Saccharomyces cerevisiae S288C: one gene and its partners. The protein of the gene in region 2 binds, or shares a complex with, the protein of the main gene of each other region. Each region holds a gene or a part of one and is shown on either strand. Other genes may lie near its edges.

The links.
Region 1: MEC3 (region 2) and RAD17 share a complex: the UniProt entries of both Saccharomyces cerevisiae proteins name them as parts of the checkpoint clamp complex.
Region 3: MEC3 (region 2) and DDC1 share a complex: the UniProt entries of both Saccharomyces cerevisiae proteins name them as parts of the checkpoint clamp complex.

Annotation. Positions count from the first base shown.
Region 1 is NC_001147.6:1,025,054-1,028,695, forward strand, and holds RAD17 (Rad17p), read left to right. Parts: upstream 1-1,789; coding exon 1,790-2,995; downstream 2,996-3,642. Other genes in the region: YOR365C (putative flavin adenine dinucleotide transporter), read right to left, coding at 1-519; SCP1 (Scp1p), read left to right, coding at 954-1,556; 40S ribosomal protein eS12 RPS12, read right to left, coding at 3,141-3,572. UniProt on the Saccharomyces cerevisiae protein: Component of the checkpoint clamp complex involved in the surveillance mechanism that allows the DNA repair pathways to act to restore the integrity of the DNA prior to DNA synthesis or separation of the replicated chromosomes.
Region 2 is NC_001144.5:712,900-716,610, reverse strand, and holds MEC3 (Mec3p), read left to right. Parts: upstream 1-1,706; coding exon 1,707-3,131; downstream 3,132-3,711. Other genes in the region: GTPase GUF1, read right to left, coding at 1-1,522; 40S ribosomal protein eS30 RPS30A, read left to right, coding at 3,453-3,455. UniProt on the Saccharomyces cerevisiae protein: Component of the checkpoint clamp complex involved in the surveillance mechanism that allows the DNA repair pathways to act to restore the integrity of the DNA prior to DNA synthesis or separation of the replicated chromosomes.
Region 3 is NC_001148.4:177,642-181,758, reverse strand, and holds DDC1 (Ddc1p), read right to left. Parts: upstream 2,483-4,117; coding exon 644-2,482; downstream 1-643. Other genes in the region: RSA1 (Rsa1p), read right to left, coding at 1-356; APL5 (Apl5p), read right to left, coding at 2,738-4,117. UniProt on the Saccharomyces cerevisiae protein: Component of the checkpoint clamp complex involved in the surveillance mechanism that allows the DNA repair pathways to act to restore the integrity of the DNA prior to DNA synthesis or separation of the replicated chromosomes.

The DNA of each region.
Region 1 (3,642 bases), on a different chromosome or scaffold from region 2:
TGTCACCACAATATATGCGTCTAAGTCAGGTATATTATATGTTATGCTTGGTATTTGGCTAGCTACCGCGGCCTCAACATAATAACTTCCCATGAGTTCTATATTTCCCGGCTTCAACGGACATAATAAATTATCTTGGATTCCACATAGATCAAAAACTTTGGTATAAACATTGAGACCATATGCAATCAATTCTGCCTTGATGGTTATGTTTTCGCTCATAATTGTTTGTGCTTCAACATTAAAGAATAGAGTATTATTTCTCGGGAAAAAAGCAGCTTCGAAATACGATGCAGAAAACTGTGAGTCTTTAGCACAAGTCAACAGAGCCGAAGTCCTTAGATATTCTTTAGTATATGCATCAAATGGTACTGGGAATAGAGTCGATGCGTTGTTCAGTAGTGTAAAAGAGTTAGAAACCTGGAAAGTAGAGCTGTTAATGGAAATAGCGTGTATTTGTCGGAAGATTGCTAGCAAAACAAAAATCCGAGATAAAGAGAAGACTTTAATGGGAAGCATACTTATTCTCTTTACATCTATAAATCAGAGAGGTTAAATATTATTTAAAATAGCATTACGACTTTGCTTCATCATCCTTCCAAAATATTGACACTGCATCATTTTTTAAATGTGTCAGTAATTCGGGCACAAAAATATAAATGGACCGCCATGAACTAAAGCTGTCGTCGATATGGATCGCTCCATAGCAGCATTATAAAAATTAAAAATGCATCAATACCATGCTACAGTAATAACAAAATACAGCATGGATTACCACTACATATTCATCATGTCATGCATTATAGTTGTAACATATGCTGAACACCCATTCATCACGTGTAATTGGACATCCGTGGAGTTCCAAAAGGAGTATAAACGCAAATAGTAAAGCTAAGATATAAGTAGTGTCTAAGTAAATGACTTCTTTGTAAGCGTACAGCTAAAGTTTACCGATGAGTTACGATAAGAAGGCAGATGTCACATCCTTAGATGAAGATTTGAGACAACTAAGAGAAAGCAAATTTTCACCGGAAGCAATTCAAAATATCAAAATATGGGTATATAAATCTGTCCTAAAAGAGATAGCTCCTCCTGGAGACTTATTGGAATGCTTGAAAGATGGAACAGTCCTATGTAAGCTGGCAAATATTTTATATGAAGCAGACACAGGAGAAGCTAACCATATTAGTTGGAAGAGCTCTAAAATGCCATTTGTTCAAATGGATCAAATTTCCCAATTTTTATCATTTTCGAGAAAATATGGTGTGCCTGAAGATGAACTGTTTCAGACAATTGATCTTTTTGAGAAAAAGGATCCTGCCATTGTTTTCCAAACGTTGAAGTCACTATCTCGTTACGCCAACAAAAAACATACAGATAGATTTCCAGTTCTAGGACCACAACTGTCAACAAAGAAGCCAAGACCCCCGGTTAAGTCTAAACCAAAACATCTACAAGATGGTACTGGATGGAGCACTTTTGAATACGGTTATATGAAAGGTGCATCTCAGGCTACTGAAGGAGTGGTGTTAGGACAACGGAGAGATATAGTTTAGAGAATTATTATTAACACTTTCTCTGGCAGAAATTGATAAATAAACATTTAAGAACCCTATATACGCAACCAAAGTTCCTTTGATATATTTTAGTTTTCCATCAAAGTTTTCCTACATAAACACTAAGGTGGCTAGAGACGCGTAACAAAAGTTAACGTTACCGGTAAAAATGTGATTATACAAATCAATCTCACAGAACGGTGTGGAAACAAAGTAGTTGAAGGATTTCAACTATGCGAATCAACAGTGAGCTAGCGAACAAGTTTTCTGCCTCAACGGTGCACTTAGAACATATCACAACTGCTTTAAGTTGTTTAACACCTTTTGGTTCTAAAGACGATGTGCTTATATTCATTGATGCTGATGGGCTGTCATTTGTCAGGGAGAATAATCATGTGATAAAAATCCAACTACTGTTATCTCGGGAGCTATTTATGTCTTATTCGTATAGAAATGAAACTGAGGATCACATGAAACTTTGTGTAAAAATAAATCATATCTTAGATAGCGTTAGCGTGATGAACAGGAATTCGGATGACATTGTTGAGTGTACTTTATCTTATGATGGACATGGATCACCATTTGTACTAATATTTGAAGACTCGTTCATTTCTGAGAGAGTGGAGTACTCTACCTACTTAATTAAGGATTTTGATACTAATGGACTAGAACTCGATAGAGAAAGGATAAGCTTTGAGGCAATTATTAAGGGCGAAGCCCTTCATTCAGCCTTAAAGGATCTAAAAGAAATCGGATGCAAAGAGTGCTATGTATATGCAAAGACCGAGGCGAATGATGAGAATGTATTTGCCCTGATATCTAAATCTCAGCTAGGATTTTCTAAAATAAAATTACCCAGTAACAGATCCATACTAGAGAAGTTACAAGTATTTGACGGAGATTCCACAACAGTAATAGATGGTTTTGCTGTAATTGGGTTCTTCGATTTCACCTCGTTTGATAAAATCAGAAAGAGTACTAAAATTGCAAGCAAAGTCCTTTTCAGGATGGATGTTCATGGCGTATTGAGTGTAAATATTCTAAGTCAAACAGACGATGTCATTATCACTGATACTACAAGACCTTCAAATAATCGACCAGGTAGTATTCGCCAACTGCAGCTACCCAAGGATTATCCCGGTATAGTAATTGAGGTTTGCATGCTAGAAAAAGAATCCATAGATGAGGCAGCACAGACAGAAATAGAACTCCTGATGGAGACTAATGAACTTGGCAATCGTAATAGTTTTAAAAAATCAACTATAAGAAAAAGATATGGTACAGATAAAGGCAATGAAACTTCAAATGACAACTTGCTGCAATTGAATGGGAAAAAAATTAAACTACCATCTGAAGAAGAAAACAATAAAAACAGGGAAAGTGAGGATGAAGAGAATCACTGCAAGTATCCAACAAAGGATATTCCTATATTTTTTTAAGTCAATATCCAGCATCGCAGAAAACGCAGAACTTCATTCAGCATTTGGTAATTTTATAACATATAACTTACAATTAAATAAAAGTTTAACTATATATTATTATGTGATCTAACTCTAGAAAAAGTACTAATGAACATCACACCGTTTATTGTTGGGAGAAGTGTTCCATGATCATGGACAATTCATCAGTTTCAGCACCCCAGTTCTTGACAACAACAACGGAGGCACCGACAACCTTTCTGGCGTTACCTTCACGGTCGATCTTACCCAAACCAGCCCATTCACCTAATTGCTTAGCATCAGCAACCTTGATCAATGGAACCTTGTTTTCTGGGTCGTTAGCCAAACCTTCAACCAACTTGATAATGTTAGCTTCAGTAACAGAGCTGACCAAAACAACCAATAAAGCTTCACCTCTGGTTAAAGCCTTGGTAGATTCTCTCAAACCTCTAGCTAGACCATCGTGAACCAAAGCGGTTCTCAAAACAACCTTCAAAGCATCTTCGATAGTAACTTCGGCAGTTTGTTCAACAACAGTTTCTTCTTGAACTTCAACGACTTCTTCAACGTCAGACATTTTTCTTCTCAATAATATATAGTCTAGTTTTTGACTTCTTCGACAGTAAGATAATTAAACTGCTCCGTGA
Region 2 (3,711 bases):
TACCAAAAAAGTCATCAACTAGATGCGATAGCGGAAGGTAATATTTTAACATCACTTGTCCATTGGTGTTTAGGTATGTTATATCAATTTGTTCTCCTCTATTACTATCGCATAAGCGTATGACACTACCTAAATATTCCTGGGGCAATGTCATAACTGCCTCTATAAACGGTTCATGGAAAGCAGCAACGTTCACCCTCTTTGTTGCTCCGTCTGGAAACTCATCCGGATTTGTTATAAGCTTTTTCTTACCATCGGTAAACTCCACCAAATAAGGAACTGTGGGTTGAGTAATGATCAATTTCGAACCATACTCTTTTTCTAGTCGTTCACGAAAAACAGATGCATGTAAAGATCCTAAAAAGCCCAATCTCCAACCTTGACCCAAAGCATTGGAGGTCTCACGTTCCAAAGTAACTGACCTATCGTTGAGGACAAGTCTACTCATATCATCATCCATGGCTTTGAATTCAATCCCATCAGCCGGGAAAGCACCCACAAATACCATGGGTTTTTGTTCTTCAAATCCGGGAAGTACTTCCGTTTCATTTACTTTACTTAAATGCATTATAGTATCTCCAATTTTTGCTTCTTTAGAATCCTTCATTCCCAGCACTAGATAGCCAACCTGTCCTGTCTTTAGCGTACCTGTAGAGGTTCTGTCAGGATACATGATTCCAATATCTTTGACTTCGTATTTTTCTTTTGTCTGAGCACAAATAACCTTGTCATTTTTACGTACAGAACCATCAACAATATTCACTAGAAGAACCGCTCCTAAGTATGCGTCGTACCAAGAATCCACTAATAATGCTCTGAAGGGTTTATCAGGCCTCCCCGTTGGTGGTGGTATACGATCAATTATAGCCGGTAGTAACAGTTCCTCTACATTTAATCCTGTTTTAGCACTTACTCCGATTATATCTTCCTCGGGGAGCTCAAAGTTATTCACTATCTGATCCTTTACCTGTTTAACATCTGTAAAATTTAGATCAATTTTGTTTATTACTGGAATTAATTTCAATCCTAAACTGAAGGCTAAATAAAAATTAGCAACCGTCTGTGCTTGTATGCCTTGTGATGCATCAACCAAAAGAATTGCTCCCCCACAAGACGCATATGACCGTGAAACTTCACCTCTGAAGTCCACATGTCCTGGCGTGTCAATTAAATGTAAAAGATAGTTTTTTCCGGTCCTCTTATCTTTATAAAACATCGAACATGTTTGCGCCTTTATAGTAATACCTCTTTCTCTTTCGACTTCCAATTTATCCAAAACTTGTTTATTTCTCGCATTGGGATCGATGACATGCGTTATTTCCAGCAGTCTGTCACTTAAGGTTGACTTCCCATGGTCAACATGGGCAACTATAGAGAAATTTCTGTAATTTTCGAGAGGTATTTGCTCGATCTGTGCTTGTAACTTCTGTGCAGGGGTAGTCGTATGGTTATATCGTAAGAAATATGCGTGTCGTTTATAACACCGTATATGTCTCACTGGCCTAATTCTAAATTTCAGCATTTTTATGTGCAACTAGTTTCCCATATTCATGGCTCTTTTTCAATGGTTGCGGCTACAAATATAGGCGAGTTATACTTGCCCTCGTCTATTATTCAACTTTTTTATTTACATCAAAATAGCAACATAAACATACGGAGATGATGAGAGAAAAAAGAAGACAAAAGGTGTGTCTTAATTCAGTTAAATGAAATTAAAATTGATAGTAAATGGTTGTGAAGCACCTGATGATTATAAATTGCTAAGAACTACTATCAATACAGTTGCTTCGCTACGAAAGACGGCTATCTTAAGATTTAATAGTGAAAGATTGACAATAATATCCACTCCAAAATCATCACTCAACAGCAGTAACAACGGTACAATATTACGAGGGGATACTGGTCAGCTTTGGTGTACCATTCCTCATGATGTATTCAGATTATATACAGTTATATCAGCTCGCGAGCTCAATACAATAACAATGGAGTGTAATTGTGATTCTTTATTGAGTGTGTTTAAAAGGTATGATCGAGTAATGAACCAAGGATCTTCCTCTAATATGACTATAAAACTACAGTCAATGCCAGAATGGAATACAAATAACGGAACACTTTCAGGAGGAACAGCAGGAGGCGTAGATACAACCTCAAAACCGAACCCCATTTGTGCTCTAGGTATAACATTCGAAGAAATTGTACATACTAGCGGCCCAAATGACGCTATAGTTATGAATGGGGGAGTGGATGAGCACAATGGTTTACCAACCACAGTAGGCACAGGAAATCTACTCGCAAGCAATAAGGTTATCATGCATTCGTTCAAAGTACCTGTCAAACTATTATTCCGAGCACAAGATACGCGAATACAAGAGCCAATGATTAACTATATTCAACTGATGATGTACAAGCTGCCACCAATATCGGGCGAGTTTGGCTCCGCCTTCCACGGGTTTATTAGACGTGTTGAACGGTACAGTAATGTCAACCACATTCATTTAATGGGAGTCAAAAAAAAGGAGCATGGAAATGAAGGTGATGATGTAGAACTTAAGATAATTGTGAATGAATTAGATTGGCATTTGGAAATATGCTGGAATGGACCCTTAGACTCTGTGATACAACGCCAAGAAGGGCTCACTGACAATCCTTCCCAAAACCAGCACATCGACACAGACGGCCGGCAGGAGGAAGGATCTCTTCCGATTATCGAAGCGGATAAACCGATGTCTTCACTATATACCAATACTAGAGATCGAGAGATGGAAGAAAATATCCGCTACGATGAAGATTTATTAAGAATTGAGGATAGCTCGATCGCAGATACGCGGGGAAACATTTACACAGCTGATACTAGCGGTGATACTGAATTTAATGACATATCCGTTATGGTGGAAAAGGCTGAACAGGAAAGTTCGTCCACACATGAAGTAATCATCCGTTGCAAAGATTGGAAGGTGTGTTCCAAGTTATACGCTGCATTTGAAGAAGTTGTTTTGGCGATTTCTCACGACGAATCCTGCGTATTCCACTGTTCGTTGGATCGTGGTAGCTTGGAAGATAGCGAAGATGTGGAAAAACCAAGGGAAAGAGGACAAATCATATATTATATAGCAAGATCGAAGGGCTTGTAAACCCTACAGCGGTACATTTCTTTGCTACGTTGCTAAGGAAACTCTTTAAATCTGACATGGCTGAGAACTGCAGAGTTGCAGAGTTGCAGACTATCACATCCGTACATATGTATAAAAAAATCCGTGCTTTACATACTAACTGCTTTTCTTTTTTCCGTTCGAAAAAAAAAAATGTCGTGAGGTTGTCGGAAACCTCAGAAAAAATAGATAGAACAAAACAGCCTTACGAACGGTATGTTGCATTTTAAAGGCTACATGAACTGCACATTAAATTTGCCACTGTAATAATCTTCCATATCCCCATACAAAAACTACGCAAATATGGTACGTAATGCCTCATTAGGATTTTAAAATATGAAAAAAATGGACGTTTCAGCGAGGAATGAATAACAAGAAATAGCTAATTTGAATATATTACTGGTGTTTCATATCTATATATACCGCAGAAAAAGAAATAAAACGCAATATATCTTTAAACTGGCTCCACCCTGAGAATATGATAGGAAACTTTTTAAATTTGAGTTCTGTTACATCAAAAACGTAATTGCTTGACACAGATTTTTCGAGGGCAACAGCGTGG
Region 3 (4,117 bases), on a different chromosome or scaffold from region 2:
TGTAAATTAAGCGCTGGTGCATAAGATATATTCTGATGAACTGGCGGTATGTAATTTTCTGTATAATTGGGAGGACTCGTATAATTGTACTGAGTGGACGGTTGTATTGGATGGAAATATTGATTATGAGGGGCTACATGATGAAGTTGAGGAGTATAACCGGTATTCCATGAACCTTCATAATACGGAGAGTTCGGATACATATGAGGTGAGTAAGCTGCATTAAAAGCAGAGTCTGTTTTTTGCCTTTTAATTTTCGATTCATCATAGCCATCTGATAGCGTTCCGGAGTATGTAGGTTTGGGAAGCCTAGAATGTCCATCACCCTTCGAATTTTCAAAGTTATTATAATTCATAGTCCATGTCGCAATAAGCTAATCAAAATGGAAAAAGAGATTGACTTATGAGTTAAATATAATAGCATCAATGAAATTTTTAAGTTCCTATTAAGTAAAAAGCTATGCAATATAGAGATATTATGCTATTGAAAATTTTAGTTTGTTCCCCGACCGTGATGGACCATCAGCCGCACGCTCACCAAATTGAGACAGAAAAAAAAAAAAAAACAGCGATCGATATTATCATGATAATTGCTACTTCATCTAATATTTACACGCCTTTATACTGATTTTGCATTATGGTTTTAGTCAAATATACCCCTTGGCTTTTCTACTTGTGTTAGACCCAGCCCATCTTCCATCTCTTTATTGTCCTGTTTCTTGTGATTACTTGTGTCATTCTGGGAATTCAACAGACCTTGCATATGCTTCAATTTTTCTTTCTTGAGCATTCCTTTTCTATCGATATTGCTGCATGAAACCTCATCATCTGCAGCTGGTAACGCTTTTCCCCATGTCACAGTGGTGTCTGCCCTTTTTGCAAATGTAGATTGTTGGGTGGGGTCTTCAGTTTCATTACAAATATCTGCTATGGATCTTTTTAAAGAATTGCTCTCATTACGTGGACAGGCCACTTCATGAGTCGTACCAATGTCAAAACTTTGTTCCCGATTCATGTTCATATGAACTGAACTAGCCTGCCGGAACCGCTTATCTTGTTCGTAATTCGTACTTTGGCTTTGTTCTTCCACGAATAATTTTCTTGCCGTGTTATTTCTATAGGTCTTAGCAACTGTGCTTCCATTATCAGGGGTCAGATACGACACTTTCAAAGGACTGTTTCGAGTTCCAGCCACAGAGTGTGGCAGGTTTTCTCTCTTTAAAGCAGTTTTGCTTTTTAATGGACTTTCGCAGCTTTCTTTGTTGTCTTTCAGTCCGGCCTCTTCTTTGGAGCCAGAGATTGCTGTTTTTATGAATTTTCCTTCTAAAATATCATCGTTAATGTTACTGTCAGTAACTTCAACCAATTCTAATTTTACGCCCGGTTTTTGCATTTGCATAAGAATAGGGTCCCCTGGGTGGCAAAACCATAAACTTATATTATCATTTCCGTCCTGGGTAGTCTTCCAGGATGGACCTATCGTTATGAAGTTTTTGAAGTCCTTCAATTTGAATATTATACTTTTCATATGCTCTCTACGCTTACTATGTGATCGCTTATCTTGTTTTTCATCTTCGATTGTTGTAAATAAGCAATAATGCTCAAGATCGAGCGTACTGATAGTGTTACTCATGCTTAACGCATTTCTTAAAAGGTCGTTATTTTTGCCGTAGACGGCCTTGGTGAATGCAGTTATGCTTAGCCTATGTACGTTAATTTCCAATTTTACTTCATCGGTTACATTAACATTGCAGTTGTCTAAAAAATTCTTCAATAAAGTTGAATTACAACAAATGTAATTAATCTCATCAGCAGCCGTTAACTGATTCCTTTTACGTATGTCTGATTCCACTTCTTCGTTAAATAAGGCTGATGTTAGCTCACGCTCTGTATTTGTAAAAACGTCCAATAGCTTAGGGTCCAAGGGCTCCTGTGGATTCCGATCGGAGGCAGCAGTTCCAAAAACATCCAAAAACCTCCTTTTGTACTTAAGGTTGATTATTATGGGATCGTATTTTATTGGCTGGAATTGGGGACAGTATTCTTTGACTATTAACGAATCCATTTCAATCACCACAATCAATCTATTTGCAAGTGATTCAGGACAGGTAGAAGTGTTGTTTACCGCAATTGTGAATGATTTGATGCCATCACCATCCGGCTTTCTTGATATAGTTGTTAGGTGTCTTCCATTAACACGGAAGGAGTATAACTTATGACTATTGCCGTACGTATCTTCTATAACTTGAACCCCATTTTCTCCAAATACAATCTCATGTGGTTTAAACTCATACTCCTCAAAAAAGCTTTTCTGAAACCTAACCTGACAAAGAGTAGTATCTGTCTCGTTCATTGACCAAGCAATTAACTCATTTGTTGTCACTGTAATCTTGATATCATCCTGAATTGTAGATAACACATATATCGCACGAAACCAGATATTCTGCTTCCCCGACTCGGTGATAGTTGCCTTAAATGACATATATGTCTAAGCAAAGTTATGCTGTGTTATTGTTACACTAGCAATAGTATGTCAAATAATTTTGCAAATCATCTCTGGTCTATGATTACCTTTGGCGGCCTTTGATTCATTCGCGTCATTATTAAATATGCCGTCTCTTTCGGCAAATTGAGTGCACCGCAATAATATACTATGCAGAATAAAATACTTAAATTAATTATAGTTTACGTACGTAATCGCTGTCATTGAGAATTCACGACTTCGATTTTTTTATCGTTAAATGTCAGTGCTTTGGTCTCGAAGAAATTCATTTGGTTCTGGAGAATTTTTTGCTTTCGTTTTTAGTTTGTTTTTTGACTTTGACTTTTTCCCTTTCTTCTTCTTTTTTATAACTATAACTTCTTCAGTATCACTTAAATTATCCTTTTCATCTTTTACAATAAGATTGGCCTCTAAACGACTTAATTCTAACTCGTCTTCCTTTCTAAGGTTGCCCTCTTCCTGCGATCCTCTTCCTGCGTTACTCGATTGCCCAAAATTGGAAAAATCAAAATTTTCAAGTTGAGAGTGCATTCTCAGATTAATCTTGTCCTTTTTCAAAGGATTTTGAGTTGAATGATTATCATGGGGTTTCTGGAATGCATCTTTCCTTTTGGGAGCGGCTTCGATAACAGGTTCATCGGATAAGACTTGAACCCTATTTTTCTTCTTTCCCTTCTTCTTCTTTCTGCTGATTTCAGTTGTAGATAAACTTAGAGAATTCAACGAATTATCGGTTCTATTTAATCTAATAGTTTCTGGCTTTTTATCACTACTTTCCTCCTCATTCAAGTCCAACAAATCTTTAGAGTTCTTAGTTCTTTCTTCGTCTTCTTCACCTAGATAATAAGGATTTGACATCCGTTCCTTTTCTCTCTCAATCTCAAATGGATTTTCAAAATCATCCAATTTTTCCTTTTCTTCATACGAAGTATCAGAATCATCAACGAATTTTAGTTCAACTTGCTCGTCCATTGAGATATCAGACATTAAATCACTGATGGCGTCACTTTTTTGTTCATCTAAGAGTTCATCAGCTGCCTCCTTTGTCAAAAATGGAGTTTCTAGATCAAGATTCTCATCTACTGCTAACTTCAATTGAGTCCCACGCGCAATTGGTGCGAGTTCATAGGCGTTAAAAAAACTAGGCAGGACTTCGCTCAGTAGCATTGGTAGACCTTCCGTATCCTCCTCTAAAGCCTCCAAACTTAGTCTTAAAAATTCTAAAACTTCTACGCTTCTTTCCTGGACTTCGAATGTACTCGAATAAGATAAATTTTCAAAAAATTCAATTAGCTCTTTTAACACCATTTTAATTTCAAAGCGTTTATCCTCCTGAAAGTTATTACACCAATTACTAAATACTTTAACAAGTGCTAAAATTAAAACTTCTTGTACACTATGAGAATAATAACTGATATTCTCAGTCATGATTTTTATTAAGTCGTTACCATTTTCAACTAGGGTAGAAAATTCTCCGAGACACCAAATGCATTCTCTCAATACGGTAGGCAACTGTTTGTTAATATTGTCATTTGAAATAAGCTTTATAATATTAGCAATGGTTACTTCTCTCATTGAAGGAACTTTTATCATCAAATTCCTAAACTGTTCACC